4 linked regions of the Alligator mississippiensis genome follow. The protein of the gene in region 2 interacts with the protein of the main gene of each other region in a biochemical or structural test. Links are inferred from orthologs where the notes say so. Each region holds a gene or a part of one and is shown on either strand. Other genes may lie near its edges. The genes, in order: KIT, PLCG1, SOS1 and LAT.

What was found.
Region 1: the proteins of PLCG1 (region 2) and KIT form a complex in vitro, tested with the Homo sapiens proteins (3 studies listed by BioGRID and IntAct, with this or other methods). The link is inferred for Alligator mississippiensis from reciprocal best matches to the Homo sapiens genes PLCG1 and KIT.
Region 3: the proteins of PLCG1 (region 2) and SOS1 form a complex in vitro, tested with the Homo sapiens proteins (2 studies listed by BioGRID and IntAct, with this or other methods). The link is inferred for Alligator mississippiensis from reciprocal best matches to the Homo sapiens genes PLCG1 and SOS1.
Region 4: the proteins of PLCG1 (region 2) and LAT form a complex in vitro, tested with the Homo sapiens proteins (2 studies listed by BioGRID and IntAct, with this or other methods). The link is inferred for Alligator mississippiensis from reciprocal best matches to the Homo sapiens genes PLCG1 and LAT.

What each region holds. Positions count from the first base shown.
Region 1 is NC_081825.1:59,920,779-59,927,809, reverse strand, and holds the start of KIT (mast/stem cell growth factor receptor Kit), read right to left. Parts: upstream 3,016-7,031; 5' UTR 2,880-3,015; coding exon 2,804-2,879; intron 1-2,803. UniProt on the Homo sapiens protein: Tyrosine-protein kinase that acts as a cell-surface receptor for the cytokine KITLG/SCF and plays an essential role in the regulation of cell survival and proliferation, hematopoiesis, stem cell maintenance, gametogenesis, mast cell development, migration and function, and in melanogenesis.
Region 2 is NC_081832.1:17,809,592-17,817,179, forward strand, and holds the start of PLCG1 (1-phosphatidylinositol 4,5-bisphosphate phosphodiesterase gamma-1), read right to left. Parts: upstream 3,018-7,588; 5' UTR 2,797-3,017; intron 2,351-2,796; exon of another isoform or gene 2,062-2,350; 5' UTR 1,927-2,061; coding exon 1,725-1,926; intron 1-1,724. UniProt on the Homo sapiens protein: Mediates the production of the second messenger molecules diacylglycerol (DAG) and inositol 1,4,5-trisphosphate (IP3). Plays an important role in the regulation of intracellular signaling cascades.
Region 3 is NC_081824.1:236,139,490-236,147,395, forward strand, and holds the start of SOS1 (son of sevenless homolog 1), read left to right. Parts: upstream 1-4,900; 5' UTR 4,901-5,163; coding exon 5,164-5,250; intron 5,251-7,906.
Region 4 is NC_081830.1:220,751-227,682, forward strand, and holds the start of LAT (linker for activation of T-cells family member 1), read right to left. Parts: upstream 3,017-6,932; 5' UTR 2,937-3,016; intron 1,201-2,936; 5' UTR 1,197-1,200; coding exon 1,103-1,196; intron 937-1,102; coding exon 906-936; intron 814-905; coding exon 758-813; intron 684-757; coding exon 620-683; intron 445-619; coding exon 383-444; intron 32-382; coding exon 5-31; intron 1-4. Other genes in the region: SPNS1 (protein spinster homolog 1), read right to left, coding at 3,585-3,691, 4,255-4,426, 4,635-4,733, 4,974-5,039, 5,152-5,341, 5,809-5,937, 6,012-6,157, 6,364-6,430 and 2 more. UniProt on the Homo sapiens protein: Required for TCR (T-cell antigen receptor)- and pre-TCR-mediated signaling, both in mature T-cells and during their development.

The sequences.
Region 1 (7,031 bases), on a different chromosome or scaffold from region 2:
AGGCTTCTGAGCATGCACCAGAGGTGTAGGGAGGGAGGGAGAAAATGAGAGGAGATTCAAGAACACCTCACAAACCTCACAAAAAAGAGCAAGCTACAAAATGGAGGAAAAGAAAAAGGTGACAGCATAGTGAGATGCAAGGGACAAGGTGTAAATGGCTTAGTTTGACAAGAGAAACTGTATTATAGTTCATGATACCAATTCATTCTTTAACTGCAATAGAGACAGGCATTAAGGAAACAAATGCCTGACCTACTTACATTAGATCTAATGTAAATGTGTATATGACTATATGGAAATAATTATACTTTTGCCCAAAGATACATGTCTTTACTACAGAGAGACTTACACACTAGACTGTTCATTTCTCATTGGTATGAGCAAATCCATCTAAGGTTGCCATTCAAGGTGAGTGCAAGTAAACCTTGTACTTTCTATGTTAGAGCCTGGATCTGGTGACCTTTAGGGCATGTCACAAGACAGACCTGTTTTCTCAGGCTTTTCCTGAGGAAGGGGAGGGCTAATTGGAAGACGGGAGACAACCAGCAGACTGCATAAGGGGCTGGGACAAGAAATGGCATCTGGAGGTAAGAGATCTTGAGGGAAGTCAAGCATAGCTGCCTTTTATATACCTTGTAAGAAATTTGAGGGAGTAAAATCTTGTAAGAGAGTTGTTTGTTCATTTTTGTAGCTCCTTTGACCTGTTGCTTAATTTGTTCAGGGAACACAGTGCAACTCTGAGCAGGTTTTATATATGCACATGTGTTTTATCCATCTTTTAACTGAAAGTATATATCACAATATATATCACAGACTATCATGAAATAAAACAGGAGTCCATGTTTATGCATCCATTCTTACCCCATCTCTCATCCCACAATAAAATGCTTGCAAACATACAAAACCAACTACTGCAGCTACCAGAGTTATTTTATTAGGTTTATTTACTGCCAATATATGAAACCTGTGGCTAAAAATTCTACTACACTCCCCCTGTTCCTGAAATAGTTATTTGAAAACCTCTGCTCCAAGGAGTTGAGAGTAAGAGCCACCACCTTTCATTTAACATCACCGTTCATTGCTTTCCTTCATCTTTAGATGCATCTAAAATAGTAATGCAAGTATTTTTAAGGAATCACGTTACCATTTTTGGTGCAAACAGTGGGCCAAATTTATTCCCAGGTGGGAGTAATTCCTCAAATATTAATGCCCGGCTCTCATAATACTGCAGTGCACCTTGAGACCTACAAGTGAAAAGAGCTAAAAAAGTTTTGACTAGGTGATCCTCTAGGGGACTGTAGATGACCCTTTCACCCTCATCTTCAAATGATTATTTTTCTTTTATAGGTGGAGAAACTGAGAATGAAAGCAACCTTCTGCAAAAATCATGCAGCAGGCTATTGCTGGTACAGAATAAAAGTCTGTATCATTACAATTATACCAGAGACAAAACTGGTTCACTAACGCCTCCTGTTCTCTTCCTTCACTAAGGAATTTGAGGAGGGAAAGGTGAATGTCAGCCCAACAGATCAACATTATGGGTGCAAAGGTGTTATTAGTGGCTTGGACTGATTTTGTCATCGTCTGACCTCCTATGCAATCAACAGGTAGACTGCAGTGATATCATGCTTAAGCTGTTAAGAGACTGATTCTGCAACCTTTCTTCATACCGATTCTCCTTCACGAGCCGTCTCAGTGACATCTGCAGGACTGCTCAGAGGAATGCAGAACTCAAAGCCAATACATACATATATGTACAAATAAAAGTCCAACTAAATTAAACAGCCCGTCAGGCCAGCGGGAGTAAAGCGCAACCGTTTCTACAGCCAACAGGTCCACAGAAGATAGTGATGTGACTTAGCATCACATGACTCAGACGACTCACCCTGAACAACTAGGGACCGTTTACAGCTGGATCAACTTGTGGGCAGCCTTTGAGGGGCCTTTGAAGCCAAGCTCCTACACACGCATCTGGCCCCAGAGCACGATGCCTTTGTTACTCCCCAAGTGCAACTGTTTCAAGCCCATCACCATTCCCGACCCAGCCACCCAAAGAAAAGATGGCAACGCAGCGGTGACGGTGAGCGGACCCCGTCTGGCAACCCTCCCTATGCAAGCACAGCGGCTGTCCCTTGGGACCATTCTTGGTTGCACCCTCAACGGGGCTAAAAAACCCATAAGAATAAGGACAACTCCTTTAAAAACCAGCAGCGTGGGGCACTTTCACCAGAAAAGACCAGCTGCCAAGCAGTGTCTCTCTATCACCAAGCCTGCAAGCTCCTGGTGTGGGGACACGCTGCGGGGAGCCAGGACAAGTGACAGCCAAGATCTGGCTAGGGATGGTCCTGCCTCAGGCAGGGGAGTGCACTAGATGGCCTCTGCCAGCCCTCCTAGCCCTTGTGGCCCCGGGAAGGAGCACAGCCACCCCGAGGGGGATGTTTCCGCCCTGCCGGGGTGGGGGGGCCCGCGGGGACACTTGATCTCCTTGTTCCCGGCGCTATCATTCACTGGACACCGGCGCTTTGTGCCCACGAGCCGCGCGGGGAGCGACACAACAACCCCCGCCCCCAGCCAAGGCTGGTCCCGAGGAGCCCCCGACCGGCTGGCTCATGCCCCCCGGGCCGGCCGCGCTCCAGCCTGCAGTGGCGCCAAGGGCCGGGCCGAGGACCCCGGGGCTCCCTCCCCGGGCTGGGAGCGGGGAAAGTTGCGGCGCACCCGCTCCTGCCTCCCTGCACGCCCCACGCGGAGGCTCCCCGAGAGCGCAGCCAAGCTGGCGAGCCGGGACCCGGCGTGAGGGTCGCACCTGTTGGAAAGCGCAGCAGGAGCACCACCAGCAGCAGCAGCCGTGCGAGCCCCCGGGCAGGGAGCGCGCCCTCCATAACGCCCGTCCCGCGCTCAGCCTCGCCGCGGGTCCCCAGCGCCCGCACGGACAGGCGCCTCCACGGGCAGTTGTCGGAGTACAACAAACACCACCTGCTCCTGCTCCTGCTCCTGCTCCTCCTCCTCCAGCTCCAGCCCCGCCTCCGCACCTCCTCCCGCGACCCCGCCCTGCTGCCGGATTGTCTCGGGGCTGCCGGGCTGGCTTTGCGCTCCCCCCCACCTCACGTTTAAATTGAGTTTAGCAACTCTTTGCCCACACCGCCGATGGCGGCAGTGGAGGATCTGGCGTGGAAAATTCTTCACAAATCATTGGCAGACAAGATTTTTTGGGTAAATCCAGTATCTTTTACTGGAGTGCAACACCCTTGGTCAGACAAGAGGGCATGTGCGCTCTACTTGGATGGAGCAGTCATTGGCGTTTCTTTTGAGGAAGAGCAGTGGTTCTCAATCTGTGGTCCAGGGACCCCTGGGAGGGGGTATCCCCTGACTATGTCTAAGGGATTCCCAACAGATTACTGTGATCAGTCATAAGTATGAGAATACCCACACAAGTCAGAGGCGTCCGCAATTTCCAAAGGGGTTCACATAAAAAAAGGTTGTAAACCACTGAGCTAGAGGAAAGGCCGCATTCCCCACCACCAAGGTGCAGTTAGCACAGGGGTGAGCAAAATACGGCCCGGGGGCTGGATGCGGCCAGCCAAGCCACTCTATCCGGTCCGCGGGGCCCCTAAAAAATGTAGAAAATTAATATTAATCTGCCCTGGGCTGCCTGTCATGCGGCCCTCGATGGCTTTCCGAAACTCAGTAAGTGGCCCTCTGCCCAAAATCATTGCTCTCCCGAATTAGCAACTACTGATCTGGTGAGGTGATCCCACAACTGCAAGAGGCAGCATGTTGGTCCTAGGATGTGTTGTTCAAATCCTCAAATACTAGGGAGTGGGATCAGATTCCCGGGCAGAGAAGGCTTAAAACCTGCACAGCAGCTGGGTGAAACCCTTCTCCAGGCAACCCTTGCAATGGGAGGTCAGAGTAGGATTGGGCTGAGGGAAGGAGGGAAGAAAAAAGAAAACAATAGCTGCAGTTTACTTCATTTGCAAGAAATAAAACCTGATGTGAGGATTCTGGGATGCGGTAATAGGAGTATGTCCAGGTAAGACATCATAAAGTCAGACTCCCAACTTCTGAGGCCTCAGCTGAGGTACAGTGTCCAGCTCACAACACTGCCCTTCCAGATGTAGACATATTGGGAGGAGCTCAGGATGATTAGAGGCTTAGCAAATGTGACTTTCATGGAAAGGCTGAAGAAAATGGGTTTATTTAGATCAAAACAGAGAAGATTGAGGGGGGACTGAATACAGTCGTAGTCAAAATATGTAAAAGGCTGTTAAAAAAGGGATAGTTTTCAATTCTCAGGAAATATGGTCATTTTAGCTTAATTTCGACAAGAGAGATTTAGCATAGATGGAAAAACTTTTAGCTAGGAAGATAGATAAGAAGTGAAACAGGCTAACTACAGAGTCCCTGTAAGTAAAATAGGTGAAAGCCCCTCTAGATGTTCAGGCAAAGGCATGGTAGTATCTGCTGAGCAATCCATATAATTGCACCTCCTGCCATGCCACACATGTATGGCAGGAGGCATGCTTGTGGGATCTAGCAGCAGAACCTCTCATGCCTTACTGCTGGTACAGGGGGATCCTGTGATCACCATTCCGGTCTGCACCAGCAAGCAACACTCTCCCATAAGTGTGAGTCCCATGGCTTCTGGGGCTGAGGGTCCCGCAGCTACCACAAGGTCTGCAGGGACTCAAAGTCTGAAGCTATGGAGCACTGCTGGGCAGCAGAGTCTCATCAGCTGTGGGACTCTCCATGCTGGCATCTGTGGAACTGCTGGGGCTGTGAGTCCCCTCAGCTGCAGGACTCCCAGCTCTGGCTGTGTATGGTCCACCCCTCTGGCTGGGAGCCACATCAGCTAATATGGCTCCTAGCCACAGGGGCAGACCCTGCTACTGAAATTGCAAACTGAAGCTGGATACAAACCGGCTATAAAGTTATTACACATTTTCCAGCAACAACTTTATAGCTGATTGGACTTTTTTAGGGTGAGCTAGTTAATTTGTACAGGTAGCCAGTCTAAATTGTACAATTAACTGGGTAATTGTGTGATACATACATATAGAGGGAGCCTAGTTAGACAAATATTAGTCAGGGTTGATCTAGATATACTTGTTCCTGCTTGGGGAGGAGTGCTGAACTCAGATCTCATCCAGGCATACCTTTCTATGATTTCCATGATTCCATAGCTTGCAATCAAATACTTTTGACTAAGATGAAAGGGGAAAAAAGAAGGGAGATAACTCTTTTGAGAAAGAATTACAATGTATAATTATGTAAACATCTTGCATATATAATTATATATTCATAAATATTGGAATTTTGGCTTATATATTAATTAGCATCCATAGAAATATACATAAATCTATACTTAGCAGCAAGAATGAAATTGCATATCATTCAGAGATAATATAGTATATGTCCTACCTTTCATATCGGGGTGGGCAACATTTTGGAGTGGGGGGCTTAGCTCTGACAGCAGGTAGCTTCCCACCCAGCCTGCACTGCCACTGCTGCAGCTGCAGTCACTACTCCTGTCCCTGCAGTACCATCACCATAGCTTCTCTTTGCTGCCCAGCTGCTGCACAGGCAAAGCCCCCAGCCACCAAATCCCTGCACAGAAGCTCCCCTTATGCCAAAACACAGCAAAAGCCCCTCATGTCTACAAACCAGATGCAGTGGTTCTGCGGGCCATAGGCTGCTGACCCCAGTTTTATACGCTGTTGGTTGTCAGTCATTTTCTTAAACTGCTGGGGTGAAAGCACATTACAGCATGTGACTCTAGACGTATGAGTTCCTATATGCATTCAAAGAATAAATTCCTACCAGATAGCTGAAAGAATGCAGTGCTAGATAGGAAGACACAATTAAAGAGTGTTAAAGAAAACTGTCAAGGAAAAGAAAGCTTGTTTGTTGTTTGCATAAGGATTTAGAGCAAGAGAGAGGACAAAACTTTCAATAGTGAGATGCAACCAGAATAAATGTAGACTTTTTCAAGTGTGTCAGTAAAGATCAGAAAAGCTACTGAAAGCAATATATTATTTTTTAATTTTTGTTCACCATTGTCAGATTTCTCCAAGGTTAATAGCATTGTCCCATATGGTCCAACATTAGATGAAAGTCTTGTGTGGAATGTTTAAAATGGCTCTCACCATTTCTCTGCTCTCTTTCATCTTAGACAGCTAGTCTCTTTTGATGGGTGGTTCCCTCCTTTGCCTGAAAAGTAGCATGCAGTTTTATTTTTTAATAGTACATACACAGTTTTTTTCTCAAATAGCATTCCTTAAAATAACATTTATTACTAGGGGTCAGCCTCACAAAATTAATATTGGAAAGTGACAAAAGAAATCTTAAGAGATGTTTCTTTGTTTTAAATATTTTTGGGAGTGTCTTTGTTTCTTCAGAAATTCTTATAGTGCTTTTGGGTACTTCTTGCTTAATTTGTTCAAGATGCAATTGGTATAAAATGCATCATATAAAGATCTCAGAAAAAAGTTCTCAAGGGTTCATTCTGACAGGTTTCTCCCCATTCCTCTTCTATTGTCAGTCTTATGTCAGTTATGGGCACTGACTTTATTTTGGGTCCTGAACAGCAACAAGTAGACAGGGTCCAATTCAGCATGGCCTTATGCTTTGGACAGTCATTTACACAAACATAAAGCCACCACCAAATCAGAATGGTAACACTCCATGTTTCTGCTGCATTGCTGTAAATGGCCAGAGCAAGAGCAGGTCAAGGAATTGGACCCATAGTTACCAAGTATAATGGAATAATAATGATGAATGAATGTGCCTACTTCTTCTACCTCTGTTCTCATTATTGGATTTCATACACGTTTCATAGTTTCATAGTAGTTAGGGGTCAGAAGAGACATGAATAGATCATCTAGTCTAACCCCCCCGCCACTGGCTGGAGCACATGCTGGGATCACACAACCCCGGACAGGTGTTCATCCAAATTCCTCTTGAATTTACCCAAGGTAGGAGCAAGGACCACTTCCCTAGGAAGTTGGTTCCAGATCCTGGCTACCCTGACAGTG
Region 2 (7,588 bases):
TGATAGTGAGGACACTATGGGAAAAAAATTGCAGACTCCAATTTTATCCTACCACAAGAGCATTCTTAGATACTTTACAAAACTGCATATAGTTATTTATAAGCATCCAATTTATGAATTACTAGAGCACCCATTTTCACTTTGGAGCCAAGCAAATTGATCAAATAATGACCAAATTATAGACAGAGTGGTCTCAGGGATGCAACTAAATACCTTACCAATTCTCAGGTTTGGAAGCATGAAGGAGACATGGGCAAGAGTCCCTCCTTTAAAATTCAATATTAATGCTCAGTTTTTTAATTAAAACAACTATTGTAAACAGTGTAAAGAAAGGCACAAAGAGTGAACCCCAAACTGAACCTAGGGCTGGAAACCTTCTCTCTAGCACCAACTTCACACTAGAGTATAGCCCCTAAACATTCAGTGCAAATGTAAGAGAATTAGCTATAACTATATTTATAATTACATTGGTGCTCAGTGCATTGAGCATGGTTTACAAGAGGATTATATTTTATCAACCCACCACCCAGCTGTGAAAACATCTGTCTAGCCTCTGGAGGCTGATAAATTGGTCACTAATGACTTATCTGATAGATAAGATTTCTTGTTTTGCAAACTGGTATTAAGCTCAAGGAAAATGGAAGTCAGCAGAGGAATCACTACCCACACAGTTGATTTCGGTGCCATATAGGTTAAGAAATTATAATCTCAAGCCATCCACTGCTTCATCTTCTGAGCTCATTGCAATTACTGAGCTCAAGGCCAAAGCTATCAATTCTACGTTAAACTTTGAATTCTACAAAAAACAAAGCAGCCAAATAATGACCAACTTTAAGGTAGATGGTAACTTGTCTGTGGACTTCATTTCTAAGTAGCTAGGCAGCTGTGCCCTTCAACAGGTGATGAAGAATAGGTAAGCTTGTATACCTAGAAGGTAACCCATTAAAGTATTGTGATTCTCATTTAACTTAGCTAACCCAGGCACCAAAGAGGGTTGAATTCCCCAGAGCAGAAGGGTCTGAAGGACCAAAGTTTAGTCCCAAAGACTCCACTCTGGCTCATGCACTCCTGTCAATTAGCACTTGTGAAACACAACAATCAAAAACTTCACTTCAATCTCTTCTTCACATACATGAAAGCAGATGATGAATACCCAGGTCAGCTCCATCACAGAAGCAAAAATGGGCTCAAAATATGATTAGTTTTTAAATCAAGGAATGGGAAGGCTGGCTTTTCTTGCAGGTTTTAGGAGCTTCTGAGGGTGGAGGGAAAAAAACTCCAGGGTGAATGGGATGAATGGTCAGGTGAGAAACAAAGATGGGCCTCTTCCTAGAAGAAAGGAAGGTGTTTATCACAAAAACGATTAAGAGTTATTCTGGACTGGCCAGAGGCCCAGATCTCAAGCTAGATTGAAAATTCACACAATCTGAAATGTACATTCAAGGATTAGTGCAGCTCTGCCTTTGCCACACCACTCAACACAGGATAAACATTTCAGGCCATTAAGAGAGAGAGAGAAAAGGTTACTCGGCTTAGAAAAACTTGCCAATTACTGCATCTGTGTTGCAAAATTTCCCCCTTTAGACAAAACACCCGGGCTGTCACAGCAAGGCAGATTCCAATGCTCAAGAAAACTTGCCCATCAACCCGGACAGTCTGATGTGTGGGGAATCAGCTCTAATCAAAAGTTGCCTTCCCCACTGTTGTTACAAATCCACACTTACTTGCTCCTTCTATCTTCTCCGAGCCTCTGCTCCAGGTGATCTGTCTGGTTTCTAGCTTCACCTGGAAAGTTTTCCTCTCTGGTCTCTGGGATTTTTTCGAGTAAAACAAAGTCATCACAGTGCCAACTTCCAAGCTCCGGCAGAGGTGAACCACCTCGGCTTCGTTCTGCATGCAGGGTCCATTGGAGAAGCCGGACGCCATGGCTCCCTCCTCTGCTTCCCCCAAAGCAGAGAAGTGTCCAGGCAACACGGATCTTCAGGCTCCCGGCTGCAACTTGGCAGACTTCAATAAAACCAATCCAAGCTCATGGCTCCCAGCACAAGAGTCTTCCCCTTCCTACGAGAGGGGGGAAAGAAGCCGTGTTTAGATCCGAGGGCTTAGAGGGGGGAGCCCAGCCCGAGCGATCGTCTCCCGCATCGAAACTTTTCACTCCAGGACTGCAGCAAAAAATCGCCTCTCTGCTGGTTTGAATCATGCACCATTTTTTTTCCCCCCTCCTCCTTCCCGACGGAGCCTAAAGCGAAAGCAGGCAGACACAAAGCATTCCTGAGTGATTAGGAGCGGGACTGGGTCCTCCAGAAAGATTGGGTTGCAAAGAGAAAGGGGGGGAGGAAAGAGGGAGGCGACTTCGTAGCAAACCTCTCCCTTTTGTTCGGGGCCAGCGGTGCCTGCCTCGCTCCCCCCGCCTCCGCCTCCGCCCCCGCCCGCATCGATCGCAGCCCGATAAGATCTCGGGAGAGCTCTGCAAGTCATGGCTGAAGCGCTGCAGCCGGCTCCGCTCCGCGCCCCCGTCCCCGTCCCCCGGCAGCGCCCGGCCCGCGCAGCACGTGCGGCGGGAGCGGAGCCCGGGCAGACCTGTAGCTCCGGGCCAGCCCAAATGCATCTACATGTTTTCGACCCACTGATTTGAAACTACCCGGCGTGATCTGCCTCCCCGCTCTCGTGCATCCTGCAACGGCGGGGGCTCGGAGGGGCGCCCTTCCCCCAGCCGGCGTTCAGCACAAAGCGGGGCCAGCGAGGACGAGGAGCTGCCCCCAGCCCCTTCCTCCGCCCGGCCGCACCCGCGGTTACCGTGTGCCCGCCGCGCGGAGCTGCCCCGCGGCCCGGGCACGAAGCATCTGCAGGGGCGGGGGACAAGGCGGGTACCGGGGGGTCCCCTTTCCCCTCCGCTGCCGTCACGCCGGCGGGGCTCGGGCGAGCAGTGCTGCCGAGAGCCGGGGGTTGAGCATGATTTATTAGTCGGGCCTCGGCACGGGGCTGGCGGCTCATGCCAGCCCCATGGCTCCAGTCCCCGATGGCTCCACCTCTTCCAGCTGCAGATCAAGGCAGCTTCCTCCTCATAAATCATCTCTCCCGCAGCAGCAGCAGCTGGGGTGGAAGCGAGCGCGGGAGACGGGCGGGACGGCTCGGGTCGGGCTGGCCATGCCCATGCCCATGCCCTGCGCGGGGCCCCGCGGGCTCCCCAGCCCCGCACCGGGGGAAGGGCCGGCGCGCCCCTCGAGCCCCAGGGGCGAGCGCTTGCTGCCCCACGCATTGTGACACCCGCCGCGGCTCCCCACCTGTGTATCCTGCCACGCGGGGGGGTGATGTCATCACAAAGTAGTCCCGAGCTGGAGCAGGGCCTGCTTTTAGTTAGGACAGAAGTAAAATCCGTACTTCGAAGGCAGACAGGATGGCTCACCAGGGAGGACTGCTTCAGGAGTCATGTTACAACCTATAAAGACATGCTGGGCAGAAGAAACCTGATTACCATAGGTCCAGGGGGACTGGCTGAGAGCCTGTGTTGCTCTTAGCCATTAATAGCATGACAGTAACACACAAAGGTCCTGGCAAGCCTGAAGCCTCCCTGTGCTAGGGGCTGTCCAGACACACAAAGGACGCTCCCTGCTCCCAGCAGCTCAGGAAACGCAGAAGACGGGAGGAGGGAGGAAGACGATATTGTCTCCATTTTGACAACAGAAAAGCAAAAGATGGCAAGATTAAGCGACTCCACCAAGGTTAGACAGCGAATCTGTGGCAGAACAAGAACTGAACCCAGCTCTCCTGAAGCACAGCCCAATGCCTTAACCAAAAGGCCCTTCTCCCCATCTGTTCTTTCCTCTGCTGAAAACTCCCACCATGCCCATTAACACCTACCTGGAAAGAGCAGGCTTTGCATGCCAAGCTCCATTTTCTCATTCTGGGGAAGGGGAGAATCATCTCCTTTCATGCCAGCTCTGTTAGATTCTGGTAGTATGGGGCCAGTGCTGCAATGCTACACCCAGCCAGACAGGAAAGTAAACTAAGGGAGGCTTAGTAGATGAATAAGAAGTTGATTTGGAGTAGTTTCCCCCTAGCTTTCTCCCAAAGCTACCCCCCTCTCATTTTCCCTTCTCCCCTACTCCCACCCCATCGCTTCAGGACATTAGGCCAGGCTATTTCATTAGCCTCTAGGTTTAAGGCTTTTTGCTCTGATTAAAAGTGTTGTCAGTGCCTGAATATGGTGCATCAAGTGGGATATCACAACTGCTTGGCTATGCCAGCACATGCTTGAACTCTTGCAGCCCTGAGCCTGCAGAGGTGACCAAGGAGAAACTCCACTGCTGCTCCATGACCCAGGCAGATATTTCTCCCTCCTTGCTCCACAGGAAATCTCTTCCTTTGGCCTGCATGCTCACAAGTGGATACATGAATCTGCTTATTGCACATGCAAATATCCAGAAATGTTGCATGCATAAAATGAGCTAATATGTGCATCCAGTCATGGCATTTTCATGCCCAGTCAGACATACATTTTGCATAGGCAATTGCTCTTGCAGCTAGAAGTCAGGAGCCAGGCACATGCGGTTTGTTTTAAAAATGCACAAAGTGCTTACCAGCAAAAGCAGCAGGGTGCTGTCTACAACTACTTAAAGTGACATGAAGTTACCCACAAGGGCCACGTGTTCAGGAGGAGATAAGGTTTAGTGGCAGAGGAAACAGGTTAAGTACTCAGGAAAGACAGAGCATCTCTGTACAAACTTCAAGACGCAGGTAAAAGCATCGCTGAGAATCTAACTGTTTCAATGCAGGACTGAGGGTGAAATGAACATAACTGTGAAATAATATTCACTTGGCTGACCCCTGACAGACCTTATGCAAGGTCTGAACCCAGGGTCTCCGATGTCTGAAACATGATTAAGTCCAAGCACAGAACCCTGAAGCCTCCTGCTCAGCTGCCACCGAATCCTGGAAGCAACTAAAGTGCACACGGGCATCTCTCCTTTGGTCCTGAAACCTCCTCAGGCACCTAGATCTGTGCCTCTGCACATGCCCACAACTGTCCCCGGCTGAGCAGCTCAGCCCAGCGCACACCTCCGCCAGGTTGGGACCCCTGGACAGGGCATTCTGTTGCCATCTTGACTAAGGGGTGGAATCTGGTACCTTGCCTAGCACACACTGACGGGATCAAGTGCCTCACAAAAACGTAGGCATGACCATCACTCTTTTTCCTATCTAATTCCCTTTTTAGATAGTACCTTAGTGCTTAAGGCCAGGAAGTGAGAGAGAGAAGTGGAAATCCACCCCCCAGCCTGAGGGAATTCAAACCACCATCTTGCTCGTGTCCCAAATCACCAGGCTGAGCACCATTCTGGATGGGGACACTCTTCACCCCACCCCTGCTCTTATATTGCAGAAGGGAATGCAGGACAAATTTGGCCAGCGGAAGTGTGTAAGAGTGAGCAGGACTTTAGTTTGCACTAAACAGTAGTTGGGTAAAAATACTGAAACGGTCCTGGGAAAAGGAACCAGAACCCTGGATCCCCATCCCCTGAGTGCTCTGCTGACGAAGCTAAAGGGCCATGTAAAAAACTAAGACACAAAAAGAAGGTCTTAGGAACCTAAATTGGGACTTTTGTGGAATTCAGGCACAGCTTCAACAGGGAATTAGTATCTGGGCCTCTGGCTTCCAAGTTCCTTAACCACCAGGCTATTATATAAGGCAGGGGCCAGGGGACGGGACACAACCCATCTTGTTTTTGCAAGACAGAGAAAGCCTTGCTGTTTTTTCAAACAAATTGTAGGTGCCCATTGTCAAGAGAAGGCTCTGGGCAGCAGAGCCCAGCTGGACACCAGAGTTTCCCCATAGTAACCCTGAGTGAGGTGCTGAAGTCACAGAAAGAGGCAAGGTCCACTGTCCTCAGCACCTGCCTTGCAGGGATGTTATGGGTCATAGTTCTCACTGCAAGACCCCTCAAGCTGACAGATGCCATCTACTTAGCCACTGTCATACAGTCCTTAATCACGCAGGTAGACATGACTCAAAGGAGTGGGCTCATTCTACAGTAGGATAATTTGCATGGGTGCTTATTACAAGACTAAGCTCTATATTTCTACTGTAGTCAGGGGGCAATAAATTGATAAGATGCAGCTAATCAGAGTGACCTTCAAGGGAAATTATTTGTTCCTTTTGCTTCTTTCATTATGCATGACAGTCCTAATGGTTGTGTTTTTCCTTCCTTCCTTTTCTTTTCTTTTATGCATTAGATCATAACATTCAGGGCTTTGCTAACCCAGAAAATTGTCTGGTAGGATTATGATATTACAGATACCAATGAAATGATACCTGATTTATCTGGACTGTTTTAAAACATGTTTTCATCTATGCCTATTTAATGTCAATGCCTAACAGATGGAAGAGAGCACTCTCTGAAATATTCAGCACCTCCAACTCTTTGATTAACAGCTGAGATAGACGTGCCTCTGAAATTCCCAACGAGACCAGCTTTAAACACTCATGTTATCTCTAAGCTTATATCAAATATAGGCAGAAATTCTCTTGAAATAAAAGCTTCCTCCGCAAGCCATCCATGTACAACTCATTTTCCATGTTTCACAGGACATCTTTAGAAGCACTGAATTTACATCTTCTGAATGCTTTAAATTACATATTTGTATAGTCCATCTCCATCAGTTACTTGTGTGCAGCTAACAGATGGTGCTTTCTCTATAGAGAGGGACAAGCAGTGCAATGGAGATGGACAGCGCTGCACAGTGAAACCATCATAAGGCATGTGTGCATGAACATGTGTAAACATACTTGAATATGTATACAAGTACATAAATGCCTTTGGGCTGAACCTAAGCATGGAAAATTTCAACCCATATCCTCTCCAGGGCAGGCCTACAGCTAGAATCCATTTCTTGCAGGCTATTACTTTTAGAAGTACCTGCAAGATATCTTCAAAGAAAGCCTCCCCAGTTGATCAAATCCAGGCCTCCTGGCTCCCTGAACAGCATTTCTAGCCTAAGCTTGTCTAGTGTCAGCTTACAGCCAGTAGCTCTTGTTACACCTCAGCTCTCATGCAGCATTGCTGGGAACTCTTAAATACCTGCTGAGTTTTATCCTGGAGGTCTGGGACAACACCTCTAGTGCAGTTGTGTGCAGCCTAATGATTAGAGTACTGGACAGACTCAGGAGACCAGCTTTCCTTTCCTAGCTTTGCTTTTGGGCTACTGAGGCTGCTCCCTGCCCTGACCCTCAGTTTCTCCATTGTCAAGCAGGGACACTTGCTTTTTGAAGCACTTCCAGGTCTAGTGATAAATAGCACCCAGTATTATTATTATCAGCAGCAGCACCTGGGTCATGCTTTGGTATAAAACACGTTGCATAAAACCTACATTACTCCTTGGCTAACCTGATTCTCTCTGCTGCCACTGCTCAAATTTGAGCAGGTGCCAGCCGAGTCAACTTCTGTTTCCTTCCTTATTTATGCAGTGATGATGACTCTTGCACGTAGCTATGCAACTGAAACACTTAATTGTTTTCTGTCCTGCATCTTTAAATTCAGACAGACTTTGCTTGTGTGCACAGAGAAGACTCAGGGTCCATTGGAATATTGCT
Region 3 (7,906 bases), on a different chromosome or scaffold from region 2:
TAAGAGATGCCCTGGGGCAAGCCTGGATCAGAACCCTAGGCCAAGCTGGTCCTAATGGGGCAATAAAAACAGCCAATACTCTAAAGCCACAGGCAGTAGACCCCACCCTATGTAGGTTTTAAAAGCTAGGCCCAGCATGTAGTATACTTTGTCTGGGCACTTACTCCTGAACTTTCTTGTTTACTTTTCAGATCTCTGGCCCTGACTCTTGGCTCATCCTGGCTGGGTTTTGGCTCCTGACTCCAGTTCTGATTCCTGGTGCACTCTGACTCCAGGTCTGTGCCTTGGCAAAGCTCTACTACAGCTCTGGCATACCCTGACCTGGCTCTGGCTTCTGATTCTGGTTCTGATTCCTGGCTTACTCTGACCTCAGCACCAGTTTCTGGTTCACCAGACATCCCTGGGAACCAAGTCCTTGGACTTCACCTGCATATAAAGTGACCCTCCCCTTCTGCCCAGACCCTGGTTACTATAAGGGACATTCTAAAACAAAATGGTATCTTTCCTTCTCTTTCTGGTGGGGCTTATGCAGATTCTTCAGTCTGGAAGCAAGCATGACTCCAGTCCCTCTGTCTCAAGGCTGGGAGGCAATAACTCAATTGGTTAGAGTGTGGTGCTAAAAATGCCAAGGTCACAGTTTTGGTCTCTGTATAGGACACAAGACTTGTCCTGACTCAGGCAGGAAGTTGACCTAGATGACCTCTTGAGGTCCTTCCAGCCCTACTTCTCTATGATATCTATGATAAGGTGCCTCAAACACCCTTTCATTAGGGGTTTGAAAGAACTAGCTGGCTCAGAGAGATACCTCTTAAGGCAGCCTGCCTCTCCTGAAAGCCTCTTCAGCAGGACTCACTAATGCAGCCTTTCCCTCCTTTCTCCATATACTGTTTCCTGCTGGTTTCTGGAGGAAGCTATTTTGCTCAAGCTGATTCTGACTCAGGCCAATTAACTTATTGCATCCTAGCACTCCTCCTGAACTTAGCATTTGTGTCGTCTTAGCATCTGTAGATCAGTACCTCTGCCAGGTGTTATACCCCATTTCAGGATTGCAAGTCCTGATATTTCATAGCCAGTGGTGACATTTATGGGCTGGAGCAGATAAAAATATCTGCAAAAACTACAGTCAGATATTGAAGGCGAGTTTACAAGGTTTGAAATGGACCCTTTTAAATTTTTTTAAGTAGGGATTGGAATTGAAAATGTTGTCGAAGTCCTGATTTAAATGTTACATTTGCCACCAACTGGGTGTTGGATCAGTGAAAAACAAATAATGGCTTTCATAACATTTTTGGTAAAAATATTAAAATTTAAGATTGAAAACACTGCAAAAATTTAGCAAATTAAAAAGTCAACGTTATTATTATGTATTTTTGGGAGGGAGCCGGGTGAAGAAGCTGAAAGTCATGTTTTGACTAAACATGTTCTTGCTTGAAACCAGGTGGCCCACTGAAAACTACTTGCCACTGCCAGTGCTTGGTGACGGACATGTTTCCTGGCAGCCTGTATATGGTAATGGCAACTGGTATCAGTCAGAGATGAATGAAGCTGTGCTGTCCTTTTGAGGCAGGTTCTAGGTCCAGCACTACCTGGATGCTGCTTTTAGTCTACAAATAAGTGTTTACTTATTTGTAAGGGACTACAAATAAGTAGGGCAAGGGAACAGTAGGACTTGTAGCCGGGATGATGGGGGTCAGGGAGGCCCCAGTGATTTTGAGGGATTATCAAAGGAGGTGCTTTACAGTAGAACCCAGACACTTCACAGGATCACATCCCTAACCTCACTGCATAGAGGATGGTTCAGAGCTAGAGCAAAAAGTTTCATGGGCCTGCTGATGTGCTCCAGCTGTGTAGAGAAGTGGTGCCCCTTGAGTAAAAGCAGCAGCAATCAGCTGAATGGCGTATCCTTTATTGGACAACCCACTGCTGTGTAAGCAAGTTGTAAACCGCCTGGATATGAATGGTCCAGGTTCTACTGTATTACCACTGGAAAAAGAAGGGGGCCAACAAAGAGCCCTGAGAGGTGTTTGCCACAGAGAGAATGGCTTTGAGAAAATATTTACCTCTATTTGGATTTCTGCTCACTGGGATTTTCATCTGGACTTGGGCTTTTGCTGCTGTTAAAATATTAGGAGCTTTGAGTCATAACATGCTACAAAATAATAATTGGTGGGTTTTTCCTCTTTGCCTGTTGGGGTCACTTGCATCATATTCTTAGCTTTCCTCAGGCATCTTGAGGTTTAGAAACTTGCAAGAATGAAAAATGAGATTCCTCATCATTCAATTCCCACAGGTGGAGCTTTAAGAAAAATGACCAAGTGTTGTGAGACACATGGGGCATGTCTACACATGGCTGTACAGAAATGTTGTTACGTTTCCATGCTTTAGTACTTCCTTTTGGAAGTACTAAAGCATGGTGCAGTAACTGCCTGCACTGCGCCATGTGTGCAACTCACACATTTTGCTGCTACATCCACATAATGGCAATCTAAAACAGGGGAGTGCACCGCTACAGCAATGTAGCTACCAATCACATGTAGACCCACATGATTGCTACCTTGTGGTAGCGTGCTGTATGGTGACATTTTTGCCCATGGTGCAATTTTAAGGTTTGGTAACAGCATGTCAGCTTCTCAACTGGTGACAATTCCTGGTGGGCAATGATGCTTGACAACTCTTGTCCACTGAAGACAGCAGGTAGTAGGTGGTCAACTTGTGCATCCTTGTTACTTGCTTGCACGTAGTGACAGATAAAGGACATTTTCACCCACTGCCTGCCATTTGAGGAGGGACATTTTGTGCCCAAAAGCCTATCTAATCTCTCTCCCAACTCTAGAGATGGTTTAAGAATAGACATCACCATACAAATCTTCCTTCTGCCATTCAATAAGCCTACAAGAAAATGGTGAATACTTGGTGAAACATTGTGGTGTGGAGGCCTTTGACACTTGTGTACAGCATGGTAGCAGAAAACTTAGCCTGGTTGAAGCGGCAATAACGTTGCCCACCCACTCCCACATTACAGGCATCAACTCAGAAACAAAGTGGTGCCCTAAGTGGCTCTTCTTGAGCATGCTGAAAATCTAGGTCTTGAGCATGGCACTGGGGTATCTGAGGTTGTCCTCAGCAACTCCATGCTAGGGTAATGCAGATGGAGTGGGTGGGTGAGACCAATCATTCTCCTGCTGCAGGGTAGATGTGCCCCAGGAGAAGGTGGAAGGCTGTCAGTTACCTGTGAGGCACTGCCATGGCTGGTGATGGTGGGTGGAAGCATGTCACAGTCAGGCACTGATAATTTGGGAGCCACTGGTGGGTGGTGACAGGAACTGTTTCCTAGCAACAGGTACCAGGGGAAGGCTGGTGGCTAGGGCCAGTGACATGAATCTCACTATTACCACCAGTCCTCAACATCTTTGCCCTCACAGTGGGAAATGGGGAAAGGCTGTTACCCCATTGTGCACATCAGACTGGGCGATTTTTCACCAGTGGACCTCCATGCCCTTCAAGGCAGCGTAGCAGCACCATGCCCATGGGACAGATAGGTAAAGGGAGAGACAGGATAGATGAGGCTCAGGACAGTGAACCTGCTGGCTCAAGATCACCCACTGTCCTCAGCCCTAGTTTGGCCTGACATCCCAGGAGAAGAGTGGGCCCACCCTGTGTGCTTGCTGGCCAGCTGCTTCAGGAGGGCTAGCCCCCTGTCTGGGGACATGGCCTGTGCTGAGGTGGACTCCCAGGCTCCCTGCCCTGGGCTGCTGCCCCTGCAGCTGGGAGCTGCTGTGCGTGGGCTTAGTGCTGGGCCCGTGAGAATGAGTGCTGTCAGCATTGCCAGGTCTTAACCATGAAATTATAGTATTGGAAGCTCAAAATTATTGTATTTGCTGAAAAACTACTGAAGACTGAAAAGATAACTGTGCAAATAAATCTTTTTCTTATTTACTTTACATTGCTCGCTAGAAACCAGCAGTGAGTGAGAGAGAACTGGGTCATCCAAGTGGAAGCATTTCTTTATTTTGAGGCAAACCATCATAAGAAAGCACTGACAGCAAACCAAAGTCAGCTGACTCCCTGAAAGTGATGTGGTTTTTGCATAAGCTGCATCAATGAGCTGTCTCAAAAACTTTTCTACACTTTGAACATGTTTAGCATTGGTGCTTTCAGGGGTGTAGGTTGTAGCCCTGTTGGTCTAAGGCAGGGGCAGGCAATTTGGGCAGAGGGGTGCTTACTGAGTTTTGGCAAGTCATTGAGGGCCGCATGACAGGCAGATAAATATTAATTTTTAAAAACATTTTAGGGGACCTGCAGGCGGGACAGAATGGGCTGGCAGGCCATATTTTGCCCACCCGTGGTCTAAGGGCATAGGTAGACAAGGTTCATTATTGCTTAGGCATTATTAATCAATCAATGTATTACTACCATCAATCAATTAAATATCATTAATCTTATTAATCAATGTATTCATATTGTTAACCAATTAATATTAATCGTATTATTACTGTCAGTCAAATTATTAATATTATTAATCAAATCATTCATTAATAATTAATTAATAATTAGTCATTATTGGTCAGGCATCGAACGAAGGCGGAAGCTATGGTACAAGCGCGGTAGCCAATACACTGCGCGCTGTGCAGGGCGGGGAGGGCAGGCCTCGCGCCAGCGCCCGCCACGGCTGTCCCTGTGGGCTCCTCCCTGCCGCAGGGGGCGCTGCGGAGCCCCCTCCGCCGATCGCCCAGCGAGGCGTTCGGCGCTCGGCTGAGCTGGCCTGGCCACTCGCTTCCCTTTGACGTCCGCATCTGACCTGGCGGCTGTTGGGCGCACAGGCACGGCGCATGCGCCCTGGGGGAGGGAGGGGGTTCAGTGTCGCCCTGCCGCGCATGCGCCCTGCGGAGTAACCGTCCGGGCACGGGAAGAGCCCCCGGAGCTGCAGCCGTGCTCGGGTCCCGGCACAAGCCCCGCCCCCCGCGCCGGTCCCGCGCCCCGCGCTGCGCCCCCGGGCCGGGCCCGGCCATGCCAGCGCGGCCGGCGGGGTAGGGCGGCGGGTGCTGAGGCCAGGCCGGGGCCGCGGGGGGATGCCGCCGCCGCCGCCCGGCGCCCAGAGCGGCCGCCGCCGGGAGCCGCTGGCCCCGCGCTGAGCCCGCCCCGCCCCCCCGGCCCGGCGGCAGGATGCAGGTGCCGCCGCTGTTCCACGAGCTGTGCAGCGAGGACAGCGCGCCCAAGTGGCGGGGGCTGCTCGTGCCCGCGCTCAAGAAGGTGAGCGGCGACCGGGGTCTTCGGGCCGCACTCCCCATGGCGGGGCGGGCTCCACAGGTGCGGGGCAGGGCCCCGTGTGTGTGTGTGTGTGTGCGCGGGGCGTGTTGTGTGTGGCGCACAAGCACAGAGAGACACGTGCACAGACACCCGCCCCCCGCCCACCCCAGCGTCTCGGAGGAGCTGCCAGGGACCCGTGGCAGAGCCCCAGGCTTGCACACAGCGTGGTTTGCGAAACACTGGTGGCTAAGGTACAAGCCTGTCCTGCAGAAGCTTCTGCTTCAGTGAGAGGTGCCTGCCCACAAACTCTGGTTTCATTTGGCCTCTTTTTAGAGCGGCGGTTCCCAGCCCCGGGTTGCGACCCAAATTAGTGTCGCGGGGGCAATGCCGGCAGCGCTGCACACAAAACATGAGCCGCGCCGCATGTCAGGAGCTCCCCCAGGCTGCTAACGCCGCAGTCTGCTCCCAGCAGCGGGTTGCAGATAAAAAAGGTTGGGCACCACTGTTTTAGAGCTTTGTTTTGCGAAGAAACCTGAATCGAGGGCAGGAGAGTAAGTCTCACTTGCTCCTGATACTGGCATTGGTGTGGGGGAAATGGGTCAGGGCTGCTCACTTCTGACTTCTGCCTGTAGCAAATAAGAACGAGGCTTTCCAGAAACTGTTTTCTGAAGTGGTTTTATATCCAACACTTAATCAACACCTTGCACTCAACATGTAGCAGCCATTGATGCTGGTATACTGATTGTACCAGTGGATGCAAACTTCCTTAATGTGGCTGAACTGGGGGCACTCCACAGCATGGACTGGGTATCCCAAGTATTTCAACTGCATTGATTCAGCTCACCTTCCCAATTTTCTCTTGCAATGCATTGTTTCATGTTTCACAGCATGTTCATCCAAGGACTCTGTGCGTTTGTATCAAGGAGCAGGTCTTTCCTGACCCCAGCACTTGCTGGTACAGTAAGTGATCATTACCTGTTTCTGAGAAAAAAATAACTTTTGGGTTAACTACCCAAATCCCTGAGGCTTTCAATGCCTTGGGATGCTCAAGCATCAAGGTAACTGAAGCCTGCTTGTGAGTTGCAGGCCAGTTGCAGCTTGCGGATTTGGCTCACTGTTCTGTGCTGTGCTCAGGGTTTGCTGTGCTGGGAACTCAACACAGGGCTAAGTAGTCTGGGAATAGAACAGGTTTTGATTAGAGGTGCACCAGTATATCGGTCCATGTTGTATCAGCACCAACAAAAGGAAAATTGACATTAATGGCAATCGACTTTCTTTGTGTGATGTGGTCAATAATGTCTCCGATAAATGGCGCATGCATGGGCACAGCAGTAGCATGCACACGGCCAGCCTGACAGCTTGGAGAGTAGTGTCTGGCTGGTAAGTCTGTTGGGGGGTGGGGAAGAGGTATGCGGGGGAGCTTATCAAGGCCCCCACAGCGAGGGAGGGTGTGGGGCTGGGGCAGGGGCAGCATGCACCCCAGGGAAAGGCACGGGGGGCACGTGCCCCACAGATGTGTGTGTGGGGCGAGGGCGGGCTGCCTGCTGCGGTCTGGGGTTGAGCCAGGCTCTTCCCAGCGGTGGGGTTGGGCTGGAGTTGCACTTGGGGTGGGGGGTGGTGCTGAAATGGGGGGGCTACAGGGTGGACTGCAGGCCACCCCAAAATTTGCTGCAGCCCCTCCTCCCAGGGCTGCCACCACCATTTGTCCCAAGCGCAGCCCCAACCCAGCACCCCTGCTAGGAAGAGCCTGGAGCTTCCTCCAGCCCACAGCAGCAGCCCACTATCACCACGCGCACAGATCCAGGGGGCACACACTCCCATGCCTCCTTCGGGCACGTGTGCTGTGGCATGAGCAGCCCGGCCCCTGCCACACCCGCCCCTGCCATACCCTCCAGATGAGCCGCGCACAGCTCTGTCCTGTGCCTTGTCCTGGCTGGACAGCCCCTGCCCAGCCCCATTCCCACTCCCTCCCCCACTGCAGGGGTCCTCAATATGTCCCCCATACCCCTTCCCACCAACAGACTTACTAGTCATATGCTGCTGTCCAAGCTGCTGGGTTGCATATCGGCAGTCGCATCCGTATCAGCTGATGTGGCTCGTTAATAATTAGCCATTGGTATTGACCCAAAAAATCTTTATCGGAGCACCCCTAGTTTTGATAGTATGAACCAGAATAAAACTGCTCTTTGAAATTGCATACATCAATTGCAGAATCTGTGAAGTTGTTAATTTCTGTCCTGGTGGGCAAGTCACTTAAGGCATCTTTATACCTGCTCTGGGGGTTGGTGTGGAGGGAGAGGGCTTTAATTGAAGCACCCACCGTGTCTCATGTATTCAGCGCAGGTGCTTCAAAATGGTGGTGGGGGTGGTGCTTTAAGTAAAGCTTGTTTGATGAGCTTTAGTTAAAGTACCGCCGCCACTATTTTGAAGTGCAGGGGTGCCGAATACATGAGATGCCGAGGCTGCTGGAGCGTGGTAATTAGCATGCTCCAGCAGACTCCATTAATCGAGTTTGCTCTGACGTGCTGTAATTGCAGCGTGTCAGAGCAGGCGTCCTGCACATCTACAAGCACCCTTAGTGAGCTGACTCGGAATGTCACTGCTCGCTGAAGAACTTGATGAAAATGGGCATGTTCAGGACCAAGAGAAGAGTAACTTG
Region 4 (6,932 bases), on a different chromosome or scaffold from region 2:
TCACCCTCATTCTCGTAGCTGGGCACACTGTCTGGAGGGGAGCAGAGGCAGGCGGTCAGGGGTGCCCACATCCGCCTCTCTGCTCCTTCATCCCAGGGTGAACCCAGTTGTGCCGCCACCCCGCCACATTCGTCTGTCCCACCCCGTACCGCGGGGCAACTCCAATTATCCCCCTACCCGCCTGTCTGCTCCTCCATCCCAGGGTGAGCCCAGTTGTGCCCCTGCCCACGTCCATCTGTCCAGCCCTCAACCCCAGGGCAGCTCCAGTTACCTGCCTCCCCGTGTCCATCTATCCGGCCCCTTCCCCTGGGGTTAGCTCCCATCCCTGCACCCTGTCCGCCTCTCTGGCCCAGGTGACCCAGTGGGGGGGAGCGGCACTCACCATTGTCGGGTTCAGGTCGGGCCACTGACGCCGTGCGGCTTGGAGGGGCCTGAGGCGAGCGCCTGGGGGGCAGGAGGGGCCGGTGATGCACAGAGCACAGGGCCCCCAAAGGCCACAGCACCCCCGCCCCAGCCTGGGGACCCTCGAGGGGTCAACCCCCGAAGCAGGAGGGAGGTGGGCAGCCCCGTGGAGGGCCCGCTGGCAGGTTGGGGGGGGGCGGCACTCAAGGCCACTTACGGGATGGAGAGGAACTGCTCCGTGGGGGTGACGGGCTGCTGGCGGATCTGGTTGCGGGGGGCACCTGGGGGGGGGGCAAGGGGTGAGGAGAGGTGTCTGGGGAGTGGGGGGGGGGAGCAGGGGCTGAGCGTTACTCACAGCTGCTGCGGCTCAGCAGGATGAAGCTGTTCTGGGGGGCGCAGGGGGCTGGGGGCCTGCAGGGAGGGGGAGACACCGTAAGACCCCCCCCAGTACAGCCCCCCACCCCCCTAAACCTGCACAGTCAGATGTGGACAGACAGACTCACTTGTACTCGTAGTCACCAATGGCCTCTGGACCTGAGGGGAGGGGAAATTGGGGGTGGCGTTCAGGGCAGCCTGGGGGCCCCTCCACCCAGCCTCAGAGAAGGAGAGCCCGCACACCTGGGTCCTCTGCCTAGCACAATGGATGCCGGGGTTCTGCGCCCAGCTCGGGGTGGGAGCCGCGGGGGGGTCAGGCACTCACCACGTGGGGACCGCCGCGGACAGTGGGCGCAGAGCAGGGCAGCCACAGGGGGCAGCAGCGCCAGGACCCCGAGCGCCAGCAACGCCGGCTCCATCCTCCTGCACGGTGGGGACCAGGTGTCAGGGACCCCCTGCCGCACCCGGACACCTGGGCTCTCCATGTGCAACCGGGGATCCAGTGCCATACAGCGGGGGCGGGGGAGCCTGGGGCCCACCCAGCCCTGAGAGCGCGGGGCTCGGACGCGTGGGTTCCCCACGCTCCGGGAAGGGGAGTAGGGTCCAGGGGCTTAGAGCAGAAGAGCCGGGCCGCCTGGGGTCTCTACCTGCTCCAGGAAGGGGATCAGGGTCCGAGGGGTTCGAGCAGGGGGCCCGGGCGCCTGGGTTCGACCCAGTACAAGGCCCGGACGCCTGGATTCACTTCCGCGTTTGCTGGCTTCAAACGGGGGTGGGGGGGGTTGGGAGCCCGGATGCTCGGGTTCACTCCCAGGCCAGGTGGGTTAAAGCACATGGTGGCCTGGGCTCTTCCCCAGGCAGGCCACGTAGGTGCCACCCAGATGCCTGAGTGCCACCGAAGACCGGGAGGGGAGCAACCTGGCAGGGAAGCCCAGATGCCTGGGGTCTCCCCAGCACCAGGAGAGCAGGCCCGGCAGGCCGCTGTACACGGGGCCGGAGCTGGCTCAGAGGAGGGGAGGTTGGGGGCCCGGTGGGTGACAGCAAGTAGCACCTGGGTTCTCCTCCAGGCCTTTTAGGTTCAAACGTGGAGGCCTGGGGCGCCCGGCCGCCTGGGGTCTCCTCCAGCTTTGCTGGCTCAGGAAGGGGCAGGGTTGGCGCTCAGACCCCTGGGCTCTTACCGCCCCAGGAGATTAAAGCTCGTAGGAGCCAGGCACCAGGCCTCGTAAGGTGGGACCAGGACCGGGGGTGGGCTGAGAGCTGGGTTCTCCAGCAGGGGAGGAGTGCGGCACTGACTCGTGGGGGGGCAGGTGCTGTGGGCGTCTCGGCTCCGTCTCAGCGCTGCGGTTTGCACGCGGGACCCGGGCGCAGCAAAGCAGCTGCAGCCCTTCCCCCCGCGGGGCCCAGCCCAGCCCGGCTGAGCTGGGGAAATGGAGGGGGGGCACAGTACTGGCGCGCAGGCTGACAAGCCCCTCGGGGCGCCCTGCTCCCCCCAGAACCCAGGCGCCCCAGCCCGCCCGATCCAGCTGAGCAGCCAAGGGTAACGACCACAAACCGCACTGGGGATGCGGCCAAGGGGACGGGGCGGCGCGGGTGCAGAGTGAGGGGCACCGCCCTGGGCTGACAGGGGTGCTGCCAGTCAGGAGTGAGGGGCACCGTGGCAAGAGGGGGCAAGAGGGGCACTGCCAGGGAGCGACGGGGAGAGGAGTCAGGCAGGGAACTGCCGGAGGAGGTGACGGGGTGGGGCTGCAGACCAGGAGCGAGGGGCGCCGCCACGGGGCAATGAGAGGGGGCCGTGGGTCGGACGGGGTGCTGTGGGGCAGGAGTGAGGGGCACTGCTGTGGCACACAGCGGGCTCGTGCATGGGGAGGGACACCACCAGGGGGAAAATGGGGGGGGTGCACGTGAGGAGCATGTTGGAGCAACAAAGGGGGTTGCAGGTCAGGAGTGAGGGGCACGACCATGGGGCAGGGACACCCCCCAAAATGGTTAGGAGCCCAGGTGTCCGGGGGCTGTCCCCGCCCCCACGCCCTCGCCCTGAGGCACGTGGCCACATCCGCACGTCCAGCCAGCGTGGGGGCAGGACATACGCCACCACTGGCTTCCTGCCCACTGGGCCGGCCTGAAGGGCCATGGTTTCAGGGTCCCCCCGCCCTGGGACCTACCTGGGGCCGGCGCGGTGGCTCCGTCAGTGCAGCCTGGCTGCCGCGAGGCTCTGCCTGCCCCCCCCACTCCCCTCCCCCCGCCCCCCATCCTGCCCCTCCCCCGCAGCACAGGAAGCTGCGGCGGGAGACTGAGGCTGGGCAGGAAGTTGTTCACTGCAGGCGGGGGCACGCACACCCCTGCCCAGAGAAGCCAGGCGTCCGGGCTCCCAGGCCCCCAACACAGACCACACCTGGGACCCATTAGGAAGCCTTTAATGAGGTGCAAAGACAGCGGTATGGGGATGGCTTCCCACACTGCAATAGGGCAACTAGACCCCCCCCACCTGGGAAGGCACAGCCTGAGCCCCGCCACCACTGCAGGGAAGCCTGGCACCCCAATCCCCCGGCGGGGCAGGCTGTGCTGGCTGGGGGCTGGCACTGGTCACGCCCCAGTCTGGCCCTGCAGGGGTAAAACCCCTTGTCCGTCCATCCATCTGTCCATCCATTTGCGGCCATGGGCGCAGGGAACAGCCACTCTCTCCTGTCCCTTCTGCGCGGGGGGGGCAGCTTCCATCCCGGCTGCGTGGCTACGGTTGTGTCCCGCCCTTGCATGGCTCTGGGGGCGCTCTGGTCCCTGTGCCCCGGGCGCAGCTCCGGGGTCTGAGGGGCTCAAATGAGGACGCTGGAGACAGGCAGCTGGGCTGCGCGCCCCCCCCGCGGCACTACAATGCGCTCGGACGCTGCTCCGGGGCTCCCCCCAGCCTCCGCCAGCAGCCCTGCAGTGGGGAGAGAGGCAGAGAAAGGTTAATAGCGGGTGGGGGCAGAGAGGAGCCAGATGTCTGGGCTCTTTGTCCCACACCCAGCCTAGGGTGCAAACAAGTGAGCAAGTAAGAGCCCCAGGGCAGGTGGAAGCAGAGACACTAGAGGCCCAGACACCTGGGAGCAAATGGGTCGGGGCTGGGAGCCCGGACGCCTGCGTTCCCTCCGGTAGGTGCAAGCCAGGGGAGTGGGAAGCCCAACGCCTGCGTCCCCGGACCATCCCGGCAGCTCCGAGCAGGGCTGGGGGTGGTCTCAGGGTGCTACACTGGGGCTGTGCTGAGCCTGCGGAGGGCTGTGAGGGTCCACAGGGCCGTGCTGGGGCTCAGAGGGTCGTGGGGGCCATGTTGGTCTGGGAGTCATGCTGGCATCTAGGAGAGGCTCAGAGACTGTGCTAGGTCTTAGGGGCCTGCGTTGGCCCGAGGGCCGTGCTCGAGTCTGGAAAGATCTGATGGCTGTGCTGTGCTGGGGTCTGTTGGTCATGGGGGCCGTACTGGGCCGGGGGACAGTGGGGCAGACTCACCCTGTGCCTGCAGGTGGGCACGGCGCCGGTCAGCAGGCAGCACGAGGGCGGTGGCGAGGAAGAAGCCGCCTCCGAGGGCTCCCACGAAGGCACAGAGCGTCAGCGCATAGCCCAGGCTGCGGAAGGCCCACAGTGGGGTGGGGGGCCGGTGCCGGCGCACCGCGTCACTCATCTGTGGGGGGCACACGGCTGGGACCAGGCATCTGGGCACCCGCAGGGAACAGCAGCATCCTGGTTCCCAGCCCTCACGCCCTGCCCACGGATCCCAGGTGTCCCGGCCCCCCATGCCCAGCCCCTAGCCCTCACTCCCCTCCCAGGAAACCCAGGCATCCAGGCTCCCTGCCTGGCCCCCATGTTGGGGGGGGGGGGTGGTATCTCACCACCCCGACGAGGTAGGGGCTCCCAGCATCTCCCAGCAGGTGGGACATGACGATCTGCAGTGCCTCGGCCGTCGACCGCCGCGTTGGCACCACCACATACTGCCAGGGTCAGACCACAGGTTAGAGGTCGGGGGCAGCCCTGGGATCTGACCCCTCGCCCCCACCACAGCCCAGCCAGGGGGAATCAGGCACTGGGTGGCCGGACGCCTGGGTTCTCTCCCGAGTTTGCTGGTTTAGAAGGGAGGGTGGGGGGTGTTGAGGTCCCAGATGCCTGGGTTCCACCTGGTGCTACCCCTCCCCTCAGCCCAGGCACCTGGGTCCCCCTCAGCCCCCACTCACCAGGAGGATGTCAGCAACGAGGGCCCAGTTCAGGGACAGCAGCGTCTCCCCAATGAAGATGAACACCTAGGCAGCAAGGGGTGGTGAACCTGTGACCCTGGGCACAGCCCCCAACACCCGGCCGGGCCCTGGCCCACCCTCCCTGTACTCCCACACCAGCCCGGCGGCCCCGACTCACGTAAGTGACAGGGATGCTGGCACGGGCCAGGGCCACAGCCAGGAAGAGGCAGGGTGCAGCGCCTAGCAGCCCAATGGCACACACCAGGGGGTCGGCGCGGGAAGAGCGGAGCCGCAGCCGACGTGACAGCTCCACGCCTGCCCCCACGCCCAGCACCCCCGTCACGCAGGTCACTGCCCCGAACACTAGGCTGCAGGCACAGGGCATGGGTCAGGGGGCGTCGGGCCCAGAGGCACATAACAAGCATCTCACACTCACACACACACACACACACACACACACACAGCCAGGGGTCACGGGTTTAAGCTCTGGCACTGTAAAGGTGCCATGGGTCAGAAACCAAGCACCTCGCACAGACATCAAAGATCAAAGTTCATGAACTTTACATGCACGACAAAGGCTCTTCACACATGGCAAAAAACAAGATCACGCGTTGGGCACCTTGCACACATGCAAAGGGGCCAACATCAGAGATCAGGCAGCTCACAGGCAGGCCGGAGGTCACAGGACACACGTCACACACAGAGTTAAAAGTCAGAGGTCAAAGCTCAAACATCTCCCACACACCAGCACACAAACCAAGCGCTGCACATGTGCCAGGAAAGCACAGACCACAGCCCAGGCTCCTCGCACACACACCAGGGGTCAGTGCCTGACCTGTCGTCAGCGGGCGGTGCGCCGGCAGCCAGCCGGGCACGCTGCAGGAAGGCTGGGGCCCAGAGCGCCAGGGCCCCTGTCACGAAGGCCACAGCCGTGAAGCCCAGCGAGGACAGCACGAAGCTCCGGCTGAAACACACGGGGGTAGTAAGACCCAGCTCCAGCCCCCACCACCCCGGGCCCTCCCCCAGCCACACACTCACTTGCGTGCCAGGGCTCGCACGTCGTCACACCAGGAGGTGTAGTGGAGTGGGGAGGGGGGGCCGTGGCGCTCCACGGCCCCCCGTGGCGGCTCCTTCATCACCAGCAGCAGCAGCACCACTGCCACCACTCCCAGCCCAGGGGTCACCTGTGGGAGGGAGGGGGTGGGGTCAGGCCTGAGGCCCCGCCTACCCTGCCCTGATGGGCCTTTGCTCCTCCCACTAGTCTTAGGCCCTGCTCCTAACACCCAGGCCCCACCCCCTGCAGCATAAATCTCACCCCTAGGGCTGCCCCACCCTTGCTTCATGCCAGGGGGAGAGGGTACAACGCTGCCTCCGCACCGCCCCAGCTCACCCTAAGCGCCCAGTGCCAGTCGTGCATGACATCCTTCACCTTGGAGCCTGCCATGTAGCCTAGGCCGCTGCAGTGGAAGGAGGCAGGGGGGGTCAGTGACAGCCCCACGGTGCCCCCGCCCCCACCCTGTCCCAGCCAGGCCCCTGCCTGACCTGCCCACAGGGATGGCGAAGTAGAAGAACCCGAGCATGCGGCTGCGGCGGTCGCCCACGAAGAGGTCGGCGATGATGGTGGGGGCCACGGTGGAGTAGCTTGCCTCCCCCACCCCCACCAGCCCCCGTGTCAGCAGCAGCAGCCAGAAGTGCTGGGAAGACGCAGGGGCGGGCACAGTCAGTGCTGGGGGGTACATCCCACCCGTACTCCCCGAAAGCGGGTGCCCCCCTGCACCAACCTGCCGGGGCACAAAGCTGCTGGCAAGGGTGACAGTCGACCAGAGGGCGATGCCCACGCAGAGCAGGAGGCGGCGGGAGCTGCGGTCCCCCAGGAACCCGAACAACGGCGCCAGCACCATGTAGCTGCTGATGAACACTGCGGGGCGCGGGGGTGTGAGCGGGCGCGGGAGGGGCGCA